Linked DNA regions of Diceros bicornis minor. The protein of the gene in region 1 binds, or shares a complex with, the protein of each later gene. Links are inferred from orthologs where the notes say so. Each region holds a gene or a part of one and is shown on either strand. Other genes may lie near its edges. The genes, in order: PRKAA1 and PRKAB1.

What was found.
Region 2: the proteins of PRKAA1 (region 1) and PRKAB1 are in contact, whole or in part, in a crystal structure (PDB 6C9H), measured with the Homo sapiens proteins. The link is inferred for Diceros bicornis minor from reciprocal best matches to the Homo sapiens genes PRKAA1 and PRKAB1. Residues at the interface, in NP_006242.5 of Homo sapiens: Gly20, Val22, Lys23, Ile24, Thr32, Lys40, Lys42, Asn59, Arg60, Ile63, Arg64, Val69, Ile72, Arg73, Ile76, Gln77, Val93, Ser95, Thr96, Pro97, Ser98, Asp99, Ile100, Phe101, Met145, Met175, Ser176, Asp177, Gly178, Glu179; in NP_006244.2 of Homo sapiens: Pro79, Val81, Arg83, Leu103, Pro104, Thr106, Val113, Ile115, Asp159, Phe160, Glu161, Val162, Phe163, Ala165, Leu166, Met167, Val168, Asp169, Ser170, Gln171, Arg201, Ala202, Pro203, Pro204, Ile205, Leu206, Pro207, Pro208, His209, Leu210.

Annotation. Positions count from the first base shown.
Region 1 is NC_080759.1:29,093,125-29,101,311, forward strand, and holds the start of PRKAA1 (5'-AMP-activated protein kinase catalytic subunit alpha-1), read left to right. Parts: upstream 1-4,946; 5' UTR 4,947-4,997; coding exon 4,998-5,124; intron 5,125-6,326; exon of another isoform or gene 6,327-6,448; coding exon of another isoform or gene 6,449-6,458; intron 6,459-8,187. UniProt on the Homo sapiens protein: Catalytic subunit of AMP-activated protein kinase (AMPK), an energy sensor protein kinase that plays a key role in regulating cellular energy metabolism.
Region 2 is NC_080774.1:16,327,344-16,334,452, reverse strand, and holds the start of PRKAB1 (5'-AMP-activated protein kinase subunit beta-1), read right to left. Parts: upstream 3,036-7,109; 5' UTR 2,838-3,035; coding exon 2,679-2,837; intron 258-2,678; coding exon 94-257; intron 1-93. UniProt on the Homo sapiens protein: Non-catalytic subunit of AMP-activated protein kinase (AMPK), an energy sensor protein kinase that plays a key role in regulating cellular energy metabolism.

The DNA.
Region 1 (8,187 bases):
AGACCTCCCCACCCACAAAATGCATGCTTAGATGGCCCGTTAACTACTGCCTAAGAAGTTAGGGTCTGGTAACCACAGAATCTTTGTTCCCTGGGACACGGCTCCAGCATCCTCTTTCTCTCCCTTTCCACTGAAATAAATGTTGAACCAAGAATATTGTTTTGAAGGGGACCATATTACTAGCCTGAATGGAGAACCAAATTATTAGCCTATTCAAGGCATGCACATGTTTATCAGCCCCTTGTATTATCAAATTGAGTAAAAATAAGTCTAACAGCAACCAGAAACAGGACAGTCCAATTACTTCTCCCTCTCTGATAGTCTCAAGTGATCCAAGGGTACAATTAGACTATCAGCCTATCCTTCAAGCAGCCATCCAAGGATATTATTTCCCTTAACTGCTAAGAATAGGGCAGCAAGGAGTTTGGAGCTACATTTTTTGGTGAATGAATATACTTTGTGCTGCTGATCATGGATAGATCCACGTGCCTGATACTCAAGTCATTTGAGAGGGGGGCAGGGTTGACATTTTCTTGTTAACAGTAAGGAACCTAACCAGGACCAACCAACCACAGCTACCAAGAGATGGGTCAAGGGAGTCTTTGTGAACAGTGCTAAGATTTTGTCTAGGAAACAGTTCTGGGCCTAATTCTACAAGAGTAATTGAAGCTTAAAATTCATAATCATGAGGGGGTTGCAAACATTTTAACATAAAAAGATTTCAAACCCAGAGTTAGGAATCATCTACCCTAGTTAAACAGTGGACAATTATCCACAAATTAATTTTAATCACTGTAACTTCCTTGGGAGTTTCGAATATAAACTGACTGCTTTTCTTTCTGTCTCTTCCAAAGGCTTATATTAGCTTCTGGATCTTCTTAATTATCCATTCTCTCTAAGTAAGTGTTCTGTCCTTGGATCCCTTAACTCTACAAACTGGGGAGATCTCATTCATACTCACTGCCCTACTTCATCTGCCATTTGTTTGGTAATGATACCCAATCTGTATGTCTAGACTGTCATTTCTTTGGAGTAATAGCCCTGTATTACCAGTATATTCATGGATCTCTATACCTGAATGTCTCTTAGATGCCTTAATGTTACAAATAGGATTCATTCGTTCTTTCTTTTTTTTTTTTTTTTTGCTGAGGAAGATTCACCCCAAGATAACATCTATTGCCAATCTTCCTCTTTTTGCTTGAGGAAGAGTCGCCCTGAGCTAACATCTGTGCCAATCTTCCTCCGTTTTGTATGTGAATCGCCACCATAGCACGGCCACTAACAAGTGGTGCAGGTCCATGCCTGGGATCTGAACCAGAGAACCGGGGCTGCTGAAGTAGAGCATGCTGAACTTAACCACTAGGTCACGGGGCCAGCCCCTCTAACAGTTAACTTTTTCAACTCAGTAATACATGTATAAGGTTCAAAACCAAGAAGTTACAAAAGGATACACAGGGAAAAAAGTCTGCCCCTTGCACCTGACTCTTAGTCAGCCAGTTTCCCTTCCCAAAGGTACCCATAGCTATCAATTTCTTTGGTAAAGAATGCATTTCTAAAATGCATCTACTTCACATCCTCCCGTGGCTCATCACTCTCTCTAAGATAATGTCCCTGAGAAGCACATATGAGGCCTTCCAGGATTTAGTCCTGTTTCTCTCTCGTTTCTTCTAACAAGTCCCTCTGTACATTCAGATTTCATCCCCTGTAACCACTTGCTCTTCCCTGAAAAGCCTATAGCTGTGATTCTGCATATGCTCCTTCCTCACCCAGGATGCTTTCCCCAAATTCCTCTATCCCTCATGCCACCCTTTTCTTTGAGTAGAAAACACCATCTCTTAACACTCCCTTAAATATATTCAAGTTCAAGCCTTTGCGGACCCCCACAGATAAAGGTTATGCCCTCCTCTCATGATGCCCTTTGAGGACCATATATATGTTTTTATTACAGCACCTATCACATTACTTTGCCACTCGAAGGAAGATACTGTGTTCTGTTGTTTTCTGAGTCCTCAGAGTCCAGCAAACTGCCTAATACCTACTTAGTTGTTTAATAAATATTGAATATTAGTTACAATGTAACTACAACTAAGCTAAGGATATATTAGGCTGCATTAATAGCACCATAGTACTTAGAGTTTTTAGTTCTGGCCACCATATTTAGAGATAGATATTGAGGAAGTATACTATCCACCTGACAGCATAGGGTCTACTAACACTATGACGGCCTTAACAAGAAAAGAGTAAGAGGCCCACAGCTCCCTTAGAATCTCTGAAGAGCTACAGAGGAAGCAGCTCACAACTAACTCCCGAGCTCCTCCAGGAGACCAGAGGTTCTCCACCACGATATTGGGTCATCCTGGTATGTCTTCATCAGCGCTGAGATATAATGTAACGTATTTGTACTAATAAAAGCCGAAGTACTGAAGTTTTAAAACAATTTACTTTTAGCCCCCCTCTTAAACTAGAGTGGATTCAAGGTTACTTCTGTGAAGTCACTCGTCCCCACTTAAATTCCAATATACTTTGCTGAGATAGGGGTAGAGTTACAAATGATGGGTCTGGAAACTGGGTGTAAGCCACAGGTTACCTTACCTTCACTTCTACCCTGGAACAATGTTGAGCATCTGAATATTATCTATCCTGGGGGATAGGATGGGGAACGGGCATACAGAGAACTGCTATCCTAGCCTATGAGCTCCTCCAGGGTAGGGCCCATGAGTTCTCATTTTGTATCTATCCACAGTGTCTGGCAGTTAATAAATGCTTGAAGAAAGAAAGGAGTGAAGGTTTGGGGATGGATCAATGGGAGAATGAAGGGAAGAGAGAGTGGAAGAAAATGTGACAAAAACTTTTAATAAGAGATGAAGGAAAGAAAAAGCAAAGGAATAAAGGAGGCTTACTATTTACTTTCTTAGACACTGTTAATTGAATTCAATTTTTAACTCAACTTAAGGAAAAAAATAAATAAAAGCTGCTTAAACAGAGACTATGGAAGACTGGATAAGATGACCTCTAAGTTCCCACTCAATTCTTTGGTCTATGATTCTAGGTTTTATTTCCACAACAATGCTTTTGAGTGAATAGTGGCATTTAATGAATATTTATTAAATCAAATTATCATCTAAAATAACACCAACACAGAAACAAACTGATGCTTCTGCTAAAAAAAGTTTATATTACTTTCTTAATTGGGTCTTCATAGTTTCACGAAGAGATTGGCAACGGGTTTGCAAAATTCAGCTTCAGTTTGCCCCCCTGTAAGATGCTCTGTGGCTTAACTGGCAGGGTATAGAGCTGAGGTACCTTGTGATTTTTTTCTTTTAGGTTAAAAGAAATAACAGAACCTTTCTAGGCTAAATTCTAGACATGATGCAAATTTAAAGTAATTTACGGTGCTATTTCTGAGGGGAAAAATTAGTTTTTTTTTCCCCTAAGAGAATCCAGAGAGCTATTTCTGAGCTGCAGAGACTCACAAGGCAAACAAGTAAAGGTCAAGAAACCAGGGAGCAAAAATTACAACATCAACCACTGCCCGCCTCCCAAACATCTCGGTAATCACAGATTTCTTAACTTTTTGGCCCTTCAAAATATGTGCAGTCCATAATGCGGCAGGAACTGATTATTCATCCAAGGCTAGCTGTGACTCTTCTCTGCTTATTTGATGTAAGTCTAAGCTCAAAGGCTTTTGCTTTCCCTGCAGTACCTCACTTGGAAAAAAGCAGTGCTTAATGCATGTTATTTTGATTTCATAAATAGAAAGTATGTAAAAATCAGGAGAGTTGGGGAGCTTTCATTGGGAAGAAAAAAGATAACATTTTTATTCTTTTTTTTAAATATTATTTTCATGAAGAGTCCAACTCTTTGTTCATTGACTCTGGCCCAAATGCTATGACACTGCAAAACTGAGATCATATAAACTGGTTTTTTTGGCCACTTGATTTTGCCCACGTTAGAGGAACATAACTGACTGACAAACTCACTTAAAAATTCTATTACAAATAAGCATACTTTCTCCGCTTCCACTGTGATATGACATGATCCCATTTCTACAGATAATAGCTAAATCTTACTCACTGCAAGTACAATAAATATTTGCCGATTGATTTCGTTGATGCAACTGTAAGCCTCGTTTTCAGTTCCAAGTCTACATTTTACCGATAATCTAAAAGTATTAATTCCTATACATCAAAATGTCTGGGCAACATCCCACTTTCTGAACACATACATTCACACACATCCCCAACCTGCTCCTTCCAACAGAGCTTGCTTTGGCTTGCTTCGGGGAGGAAACTTCAGGAGAGCATCTAGCAAGAGGACAGACCGACGACGCTACTTGAGCTGCGGAGGTGCCCAGTACAACTTCCTGGCTCAAAGTAAAAAAAGAGTGGCGGCGGCGGCGGCGGCGGCGGGTGAGGGGGAGGGGGCACTCCATCAAAGATCCAAGTGACAACTCTCGATGACTTCCAGATTCCATCCGAACGGGACGAATGAAAAGGTTAGAAAACAGTGGCAGGGCGTTGTCCCCTGCCATGTTTCAATTCCCGCTGCACTAGTAACAAGCCACACATCTGCCCTACCCGAGTGGGCTTCTCCAGTGCTCACTCGCCCCTCGGAATCACGGGGAGAGCGGTCTCCTCGACCCAGGAGTCAGAATCAAGGGAGACCCCTGCGGGCAGAGACTCCGCTAACAGGGAAGGAGCCCAGGGGCTGCCGCCCTTCGCCACCCAGGAAGACCCCTCCCGCGCGCAGGTGGGCGGGCGCCCGGGGCCGAAGGGATGCCCGGCGAGGAAGGGGGTGCCCGCGCCCCTCGCAGCGACCCCTCCCCGGCCCGCCAGGGGGAGCGTCTGCGCCCGGCGGCCCGCGGCCGGGCCCCGGCGGGCGGCGCAGGGCGGCGGCTCGGCGCCGCGGCTCCCGTCCCGCGTCCCCACCCCCCCCCTCCCCGGCCGCCCGCCCCCGGCGCGGCCCTGCCCGCCCCCTCCGCCCCCTCCCGCGGCGCCATGCGCAGACTCAGTTCCTGGAGAAAGATGGCGACAGCCGAGAAGCAGAAACACGACGGGCGGGTGAAGATCGGCCACTACATCCTGGGGGACACGCTGGGGGTCGGCACGTTCGGCAAAGTGAAGGGTGAGGACCCCCGGCGCGAGGCTGGGCCCCAGCCCGGGATCCGGGCGGCTTGCGCCCCTCGCACCTCTTCGTCCTCCCCGCCCGCTGCGTTCCTCGTCTCCCGGGCTCGGCGGTCCCTGTCCGGGCTCCGGCGGGAGCGGAGCCCCGGGCCGCCGCGGGACTGCGGCGCGGCCCTCCGGGGCTGGGAGGGGGTGGGGTGGGGCGGGTTGCCATGGCGACGGCGCCGCGGCCCGAGGGGCTCGTCGGTGCGAGGGGCGGGGACGCGGAGGTGCGAACTTTCCCAGGCGGGGCAGTCGGGGGCTGCGCGGCGCGCCCCGAGTGCGGGGTCGGGGCGCCGGGGAGGCGGCCCCGCGTTCGCCCGGCTCTGCTCCCTCGGCGCGGGGCCAGCCCGTCGCTTCCCTGGCCGTCCTCGGCATTGTCCGTGTTTCCGTCCTCTTGAGAGGCTGTCGGCTTCCCTGCCCCGGCTGATTCTCAAGTGTGAAATAATGTGTTCCCCCCAAACTAGACTGCTTTGGGAGTAGCTTACAGATTTTCTTTTTTTTTTTAAGGGCCATCTTGTCAGAAAGGATCACTAATTTTTTTCGAAGCAGGTCATGAATTTATACCGGTCCTCTATTTGCGATGCATCGTTTATGTTCTGAAAGCAGACTCCGTGCCTTCGGTGTTTCTGAATGATCTGTTTTGCGGTCTCTCTGTGCCAAACCTGGTAGTTAGTGCAGATGTTGCCTCCAGATAGTATTTAATAGTTCATTAATGCAGTCGTTTCCATTTATTTTCACAGGATATTTACATTTTAATAAACAATTTAGTGCACATCATGTGAACCTTTTTTCTTTTCAAAGAAAGGTGCAGAATCTCTTACCCTTGTGTTTCAACACAGTATTCTGGAAATAACAAACTTGCTCTCCAGTCCGCCAATTCTGGCACAGAAAGCTTAATTGCAAACTTTGTGAGGCATAAGTATTTTTTTCTTTAAAATATTTGACTTTGTTGTTAGGGATGTAGAGGAAGGAAGTATGGAACTGATCAAAATAATTCACGCCTTGGCTTTGGATAAGTAATAGACTATGACTTGCATACGCTAAGCTCTTGGTAAATATTTGACTTGAAAGAAAAAAAAGTTTGTGAAAGTCTGTACAGTGAATTAACTAACTGAGCCTTGCTCTCCCAGAGCTAAATAAACATTTTCTGATTTTATCTAGGGATGGAAGAGGAGAACCCTTCCTTCTCTTGCCCTTTCTGAGTCATAGAACTGGAAAATTGCTGTATAGTCCACAGGGAAGCAACTGCCTAAACCTTCTTATGAAAATCAGCAAGGCCAACAATGCAAGAAAGTAAGAAGCAAATGCCAGAATAGGGTACTAACAGCTATTAGGGTGGGTCTGTATCAGGCCAGTAAGATGTTTCTGTGCCATTGAAGTTATTTATTTTTGGCTATGCTGTCTCTTGTTAGTGGTTACAAACTGCTTTTCATTTACAAGTATTGTAAGAAATGCTCATTAATACCCCCCCAAATAGTGATGACAATCTTGATGCCCTCACCCTGCCCAGAGTTCTGTTTGGATGAGGGTGCTCATCTTTCTCCTAACATAGACTTGAGCAGAGTCAGGTCTCATTTTCTTATTTGTGAGGTGGTTTTCGGCATGGCATATAAGAAAGCAAGAGGAAATTTTTCGTTTTCTGGATTTGATCTGTGGTGTGGCTGTGACATGAATCCCTTTAGTGACTGCTGTTCCTTAACCTTCACTCCTCCACATGTGACTCGCTTGAAGTATCACTCACTGTCAAAGTCAACAACCTCTCCAAATATAGAAAGGCCAATATTAGTCAAAGGATCATAGGTTTCATAGATATGATTGCATTTGTTTATAAATATCTTAGTTGATGTAGGTCAAAATCCTCAGCTAGTGCATTTTTTTAAGTTGTTAAACGATTGGGATGCTTTTTGCCCCAAGTAATAGAAAGTCCAACTCAACCTATCAAGAACATCTCTTTCTGTGGTTCTCTCTCCAGAGCAAGGAATCCCCAGCGTACCTCTCATGGGTCTCATTGGCTCATCCAGTCCCTCTGGCCAGGGGATGCCAGTTGGCTTACGCTTGTTCCTAAGTAGGCACTCGCAAGGGAGATAGCATTAGCCTTGGAGGAATGTGGCCCACTCTTGGATGTGTGTGTGTGGGGTGCATCTTCTTCTTTTTTTTTTTTTTTTGTGAGGAAGATCAGCTCTGAGCTAACATCCAATGCCAATCCTCCTCTTTTTGCTGAGGAAGACTGGCCCTGGGCTGACATCTATGCCCATCTTTCTCCACTTTACGTGGGATGCTGCCTCAGCATGGCTTGACAAGCGGTGCATCAGTGCGAGTCTGGGATCCGAACCCGGGCCTCCAGCAACGGAGCGAGCGCACTTAACCACTACACCACGGGGCCTGCCCCCATTTTCTTCTGAAGTACTTGGATAGTGTAGGGAGACAGGGTCGATACCTACACAGAAATGAGTATTAATTGTTAGGCTAGAGAAAGGGGGACATACAGTCCCCCAAATGCTTGATGAGCAGGCAAAAATAGCTACTATAGTGGTGATGGTAACTTACACTAGCCTTAATTTGACAAGACTCCTTTGAATAATACGGTTAGCTGTATGTGTCAGTGGAGACAATTCGGAGTAGATAGAACTTTTAAAATTAGTTATACATGTTGGTAAATTTAACATAGAAAAGGAATATAATAGAAGATGTGATATTGGTAGGCAGAAAAATTCCCAATATAGTGCTCTGTGCTTAGAAGAAATTTAATTTTGGGGAGGAGGGAACTGTAAATTCATAGTGATTATTTTGTTTCCTGTTACAGGCTAAAAAATCCATTGGTAACTTAATTGTAATATTTTGAGGGGAAAGTTTACACAGGCAAGTAGGATTAGTTTAGGATTATGCTTGAATTATCTTTATTATTTCCAAGGTATCTCCCCCCTCTTCCCCCAGGTGGAACAGTTATAAAAGCATGGATTGAATAGTCATGCCACTATTGCAGTAAATTAAAATGGCGGTTTTTATTAGTTTTCCAAGAGAA
Region 2 (7,109 bases), on another chromosome or scaffold:
AAAACATTCTTTTCTATTCATCCACAGAAATCATTTGGAAACAAGAATATCGATGGGTTAAGACAAATACATGCATACTCCCCAGGCAATTACCTTCTTGTGAGGGGAAGTTTACTCCAGTTGTTGAAGGACCCAGATAAGTAAACTTCCTTTCCGCCCCCCGTCCATCGAAATACAGTTGGCCGAGCCTGGGCAGAGGCTTTATCATTCACTTCCAGATCATGCTGCCAGGCCAGGAATTCCTCCTTCTCTGGAGCCTAGAAACAGAACAGTTTACTCAGGGACAGGAAGCCATTAATGAGATCCCAACCATAGACAGTTACCCTAATATTGACAATTCATTCTAAAGAGGCAGTTGTTAGGACCTTGGTTCATATTTGGGCTCGTTAAATTATCAGCTGTGACTCAGCCTCCCCACTTGCAAAATGGAGATAATAAAAATACCCATTTCTTAAGGTTGTTGTGAAGACAGAGATAGCCCATGTAAAATGCTCTGCATACTATGACACATCCTAAGTGCTTAATAATTATTAGCTATTACTATTGTTATTAAAAAAGTCTACATCACAATTCTAGGAGAAACTATAAAACTGACTGGGAAGAAGGCTGCAGTGAATCCAAGACTAGCTTAATAAACATCATTCTCCTCCCTTAATTAAGCAAGATTTGAAGGACGTGAAAATTTATTAGGGACAATTACAGAGATGTCAACCTGAAAACTAGCAAATCCAGATTCTGGGGAAAGGAAAAACTATTCACTGAGTGCCGTCCAGGCACTGGGGAGAACAAGATAAATAAGACAAAGACTGACCCTCATTATGGTAAACAATAAGTTCTAGTGTGGGAAGTGCTGTATAACCAAGGTATTCCAAAATAAGAGAGAAATCAACACGTCCAACTCTGTCTGGGTGAAATATATGTGGTTCTGGATCTTTTACATTTTTCCTAATCAGAAGCCAAAGACTTTAAAAGAACAGGAGTTCCAGGCTGGGACAGACCCTTAAAGATGTCAGACAGGCTTCTAGCACCTTCATTTCAAATATTGACCCAAGCTTATCTTAAAAGATGCTTGCATTCTTTGAGCTTTAACAAGATCTACAGATTAAAGAATAACCGATTTTCCAGAGTCACTTTGCACTGAGGACATGATAACTAACCATAGAATCTGTGGCAGTTTTTTTGGTATCGGGGGCATTCAATCCAGTGTGTCTGCTACATCATTTCAGTAACTTATGAGGATATGGAAATGGACACTATTTACAATCATGCTCCACAGATCATCTGTACGCTCAACATTTCTTACACGAGTTTTGGAACAGCAACAGAACAACAAACGCTTCTTGAAGAAAGTAGTTTGATTCTTATGGTGTCTGTCTTAGACAGCTGTCCTTGGCCAAAAGTATTTCTGGGGGAAGGGATGCCAAGTCACAGAAGTATCTGGACTCCCAAGTTCACTTTGCACACAGCTTTTCAGAAATACAACAAATTCAGAAAGCAAGTTCAAATCACAGGATGTAGGGCCAAGTAAAAGCAGGCTCTATAGTCTCAAAGCCAAGATCCAAGTGAGGATATAATAACAACATGATCACCCAGCCCAAGATGAGAAAAAATGTGAGTCAAGTTGGAATGAGTTGCCAGGCAATTAGCCTAATGGATAATGATGATTAATATGCAACTGGATACTACAGAGATTATGACTTAATATTTTAAATAGGCCAAAGCAAACATTTTCGCAGGCCAAAGTTGGGCAGGGGGGCACCTTCATCATTCCTAAACCTAGTTTGTTCCTTGTCCTTTAAGGAATTAGTTCTTTGTTGTTTAGGCTCTACCACATACATAACAGCTGCCAGAATCACTGAGTGTCCTTGGACCAGGCCCTGCAGCTGGCAACAGACCACATCAGGTGGTGAGCAGGAGTCAATAATTGTCTTCAGAGCTCCTGATGAATAAAGTGGACGGCAGCAGGAAGTCCACATCTGGCCTGCAAAAATGTTTGCTTTGGCTTATTTAAAATATTAAGTCAAATTTAAACAACAGGGAAAGGTGAGTAGCACCTAGCCGCCTCCTTCAGAATGACACTTCACTCACCCCCTGACCTCCAGAAGCTGAATCATTTTTGTACGCCCACTCTAAAGGAGCAGGGTGAGTGAGCCCCAAGTTTCAGGCAGAACTAAACACCTTTGGCAACTGCCGTCAGCTGCTCCACTCTGCTTCCAGCTTACACGTGTGCCCTGGTGTGTCTCCAAAATTGACAAGAAACTGCAAAAGCAACTACTACAAAAAGCGCCAGCCTGCCTGAAGGCGAGGGAAGATTTCTCCAAGCTATGAAATTAATTACACCTAAGAGAAAAGCAGAGGCTGGGGCTCAATTACTGCTAACTCGACGATCTTAATTAATTAAGAATTCGAAACTCTGTCCCAGAGCTGCTTTCTCCTTAATAATGTTAAACAAAGTGAGTTCCTCCTCCTCCCTCAGGGTGACTTTCTCGCATCGGTAATTAGATACCGGTTCTTGGACTGCTAAGAGGGATCTTACGGAGTTTTAAGTGCACGGAGTCAAGTATCACCTCCCTCCCCCTTCTGATGATGAATTTTAGACGGGATGTGGCGGGGAATCTAGGAGCGGGTTCCTCCCCTCAGCCTAGGTCAAGGGGAATCGACTCCCCACCCCTTCTCACCTTGATCTCCTCGGGATGGAAGAGGTCGGCGTCCTCGGGGCTGTCCATGAGGATCTTGGGCCTGTCCCCGTCCTTGGCGCCCCCCGAGCTGTCCCTTCGCGGCGTCTTATGGCCGCCCTGCCGCTCCAGCGCGGCGCGCTCGCTGCTCGTGTTGCCCATGGCGGGGGTCCGCGGGGACTCCGGGAAGGGACAGGGGACTCCCGGAGCCAGGGGGTCACAAGGACCCTAGGGAAAGAGTCGGAGGACCGGCCTGCACACCCCACGAGCTAGCGTTCGGAGCCGGGCTGGAGCCGGGTCAGCAGGGCTGGCGAGGTCTCCCAGCCGCGCTTTATCTGCTCCAGCAGCCCCGGCGCGAGCTCTAGGAGCTCGAAGATAACCCCACACTTCCCCAACAACACCCCCACCTCTCAGAACTTCCGCTTCCAGCGCTTCCGGAGGTCGGCCGGGCCCGCCAAGCGCGGGCGGCTGCGGCCAGCGAAGCGCGCGAGGCCACCTCGAGCTCACTTCCGCTTCCGGCTCGGGTTGGCGCAGTCGCAAGCGCAGTGAGGCGGCCTCCGCTGGCCTCGGAGCGCGCAGTCGCAGTCGGCCGCTCCGGCCTGCCCAGGACGAGGCCGCTGAAGGCCGGCAGGGGGCGCACCAGCGCGTCGGGCCTCTGGGCCGGTCTTCCCGCGCAGAGATGAGTGATGCTATTAGATGTCTTAGATATGATATCTTTGCCGACTTCCAGTTGATTCTACACTCTACAGCCAAAGAGGTCGTTCTAAAGGGCAAATCTAATTAAGAGACTCCTCTTCTGAAAGCCCTTTAATTTGCTAACTCTCACGCCTTTGAGTGCCTTAGAATCACCTGGGGTGCCTGTTTAAAATGCAGATTCTCCTGGTCCTAATCCCCGGAAATTATGATTCGGAAGCTCTGGAGTGGGGTCTGCATTTTAATAAGCACTCCAGATGATTCTGATGCAGGTAGTCTTGTAGGTATTTGAGAAAATGACAGACCATAAGATCTCTGGAAATTTCTCAGGTCTGGTAGCTTGGGGGTTGTTAACCGTTGGAGTTAGTAGCATATTCTTCAAAAATTGAGTACACAGCCTTTTGATAGGTAATTTTACAAGATACTTTGTAGTCACTTTAGACACATCATTCTGCATAAAATGCATTTATTTATTAAAAATGCGCCTTCATTTTGGCGCACAATTTTACTTCCAGGAAACTTGTACAGAAATATACATGTGAAAATTACATGCAAGCATATTCATTTGCAGCATTGTCTCTAATGCCATAATACGTTAATTCTAAGACGCACATTTTATTTTACGTTTTACTGTCTCTGAAGCTAGGTGCTTCTTACAATCAATAGAATCTTAGATTTGATGAAATAAGGAACTGAAAAACTGCAAAATCCTAAAAAGCTTGTCAGTAGGAGAATGGCTAAATGAATTAAATAGATTCATTTTATAGAATACTGAGCAACTTTTAAAAAGGAGGAAATAGAATTATGTGGGTAACTATGGAGAGGTGTCTGTGACATTCCAAATCCCAAAAGCAAATGGCAGAACAACAGGGGTTGAGATCATGAGCTCTAAAGTCAGCCTGCAGGAGTTCAAGTTCTGGCTTGACCACTTAGTAACTGTCCCCTTGTTCTCCTCTTTTGTGAAATGGGGAATAAAAACAACGCCTATCTTATAGGCTTGCTTTGTGATTTAATTGAGAACATGCATGAAAAGTGCTTAGCATAGCACGTGACTCTTAGTAAACATTCAGTAAACGTTAGCACTTTTATTGGCATCATTAGTCTTGCAAATGGAAAGTTCTGGAAAGAGCTACAACACGCTGCTAATAGTGGTCCCCTCTGGGGAGAGGAGCGGTATTGGAAACAGGAGCAGATAGAAAGGGAACTTTGACTTTTTAATTTATTGTTTGAAAATTTTTCTATTGTAAGGATGTACTACTTTTGTAATTTTTTTTTTTTTTGTGAAGAAGATCAGCCCTGAGCTAACATCCATGCCAATCCTCCTCTTTTTGCTGAGGAAGACTGGCCTTGGGCTAACATCTGTGCCCATCTTCCTCCACTTTATATGGGACACCGCCACAGCATGGCCTGACAAGCGGTGCGTTGGTGTGTGCCCGGGATCCGAACCCGGGCCGCCAGCAGTGGAGCCCACGCACTTCACTGATACACCACCGGGTGGGCCCTACTTTTGTAATTTAAAAACAATTTTTAAAAGACAAAAATAAACAACACATGGTTCCAGCCCCAGAGGAATTCACAAAGTAGAGGTGGAAGCAGACTCACAAAAAGGCAATAATACATGCAGGCAAGGGGTTCTACGGGAGCCCAGAAGGGACTTCAGCCAGGCTAGCAGATAACCCAGAATACATTCTTTGAGCTGTTTTTCTTGCTTGCAATAGGCAGCGAGGAAGCCATGGACACGAAGATGTTGAGCTTTGAGTTTTCTCCCAAACAACTTGAGAGAGAAGGAAGAACACATGAGTTGTGGACCCCTAATCGGAGCTATGCAGATGCTCTCGCTCATGAAGAAATTTTCAAGACTTCTACTCTGGCTCAGATAAGTGATATCCTGAGGATGCTTTCAATGGTGTTCAGACAATGAGACAGCCCAGTTACTGGGATTGTACAGATGTGACCTGCCCAGGGGTGTCTGCTGGAGGAGGCAAGTAGGTCCTGAGATTCCACCTGCCCGGAGGAACAGGTGCCTTTTTCTAATTTGTACAAATATGCCATACAGACTAGCAGTGGCCCTGGCCTCTCTCCAACAGAAACATCTGAAGCTGAGAAGCAGAGTTAGCTGTGTAAGATCTTTTCTTATGTAGGGCGTGTGCCACACGACACAATAGGGACACACAATTATATTCTGGGAAACCACACTAAAATTTCAGAAAGGACCATTTTAGCTTTCATTGAGCTCACTTTTTTAGTTTTGAATTTGTGTCTCTTTGTTATTGCATCATGTGAAAGCAGATGGATGGATTTACACCAAATTTGGAGGATATGTTTGGGACAGTCTGACTTATGATGCTACATTGTGTTCTCAAAACTGACTTGGGGGCACATTTGGGGAGATCTCAAAGAGATTGAGTATAACAAGGGGTCTGTGTATCTGCTGATGGGGGAGTCTTGCCATGTTGTATTAAGACTTCATGGACAGAGAAACTAACATTGGTATCAGCTATTGGCCCCATATTGAAAATCTGAAGTAGGGTAGACTCTGCAATTACAAGTGTCCACTTGGATCCCAGCTGTGTCTCTCACGGGTCACTTGTGTTACTTATCCTTATTTAACAATGGTTCACCATTCTCCCAAGCATCAGAAATGCCTCTTCTTTCCCTGATTCTTTGCTGGTGTGGGTGTCAGACCACTCTGTTCCAGGGGCCGGAAGGTGGGTGGAAGGGAGGGCAGGGATGTTCCAGGAGGTAGAAAAGTTAGGGCATCACTGTGTCAGAGGCATCCTCTGCTCTCCGGGCTCAGTCTGGAGTCAAGGCAGAGACAGATGATAAGATATCACAAATTCTCCCCAAACCAGGGCAATTGCCAGGAGCCCAGCCTAACCCTGCCTTCAAAACCCTAAGTCCAGAGAGAAACAGATTTCCAAGTCCTTAAAAGTCTCCTCTAGAGCCAGATAAAATCTGATTTATCCTTTACCTGTGACTAAAAGGGCTAAGGATAATGTTTTGAGTCTTCCTCCTGAGGACGGATTGGAATCAGCATGGTACTTATGGACCCACCAACCTGTTGGTTTTATATAAGGGGGCGTCTGAGGCTCAGAGGCCAAACCATTTGCACAGACCACTCGGATGATCACAGGCTGGGCTGAGACTGGACACGGGATCGCCTGGCTCACGGTCTGGCGACTTCCCACCAACCACATCATGGTCCTTCCACATGATGCCGCTTTTCAGGTTGAATTAGAATCCCGTCATGACTCTCATCCAGGGCTGCTGGGAGTGTAATTCAGTCTGACCATCATGAAGGAAAGTTTGACACTTTCTAGGAAAATTTAAAAGGTCCTCACCCTTTGACCCAAACATTTTCCTTCCAGGGGTTTATCCTACAGATATACTCATGCACATGCAAAATGATGAATGGATAAAGTAATCCATTGCAATATCTGCAAGAGGAAACTGTTGGACACAGCCTACGTGTCCACCAGCAGAGGGCTGGTCAAATAAATCACGGCATATTCATGCAATGGCAGCCTTAAGAAATGAGGAAACTCTGTGTGCTGACACGGAAGAATCTTCAAGATATATCACTAAGAAGGACAAAAAGTAAGGTGCAGACCAGGGCCTCAAAGTATGCTAACATTTAGGGGGATGGAGAAAAAAAGAATACCTACGTATTTGCTCGTAGAGGTATAGAAAATCTGAAGACTATATAGGAACCTGGAAATGTTGCCTGCTTCTAAGGAGGGC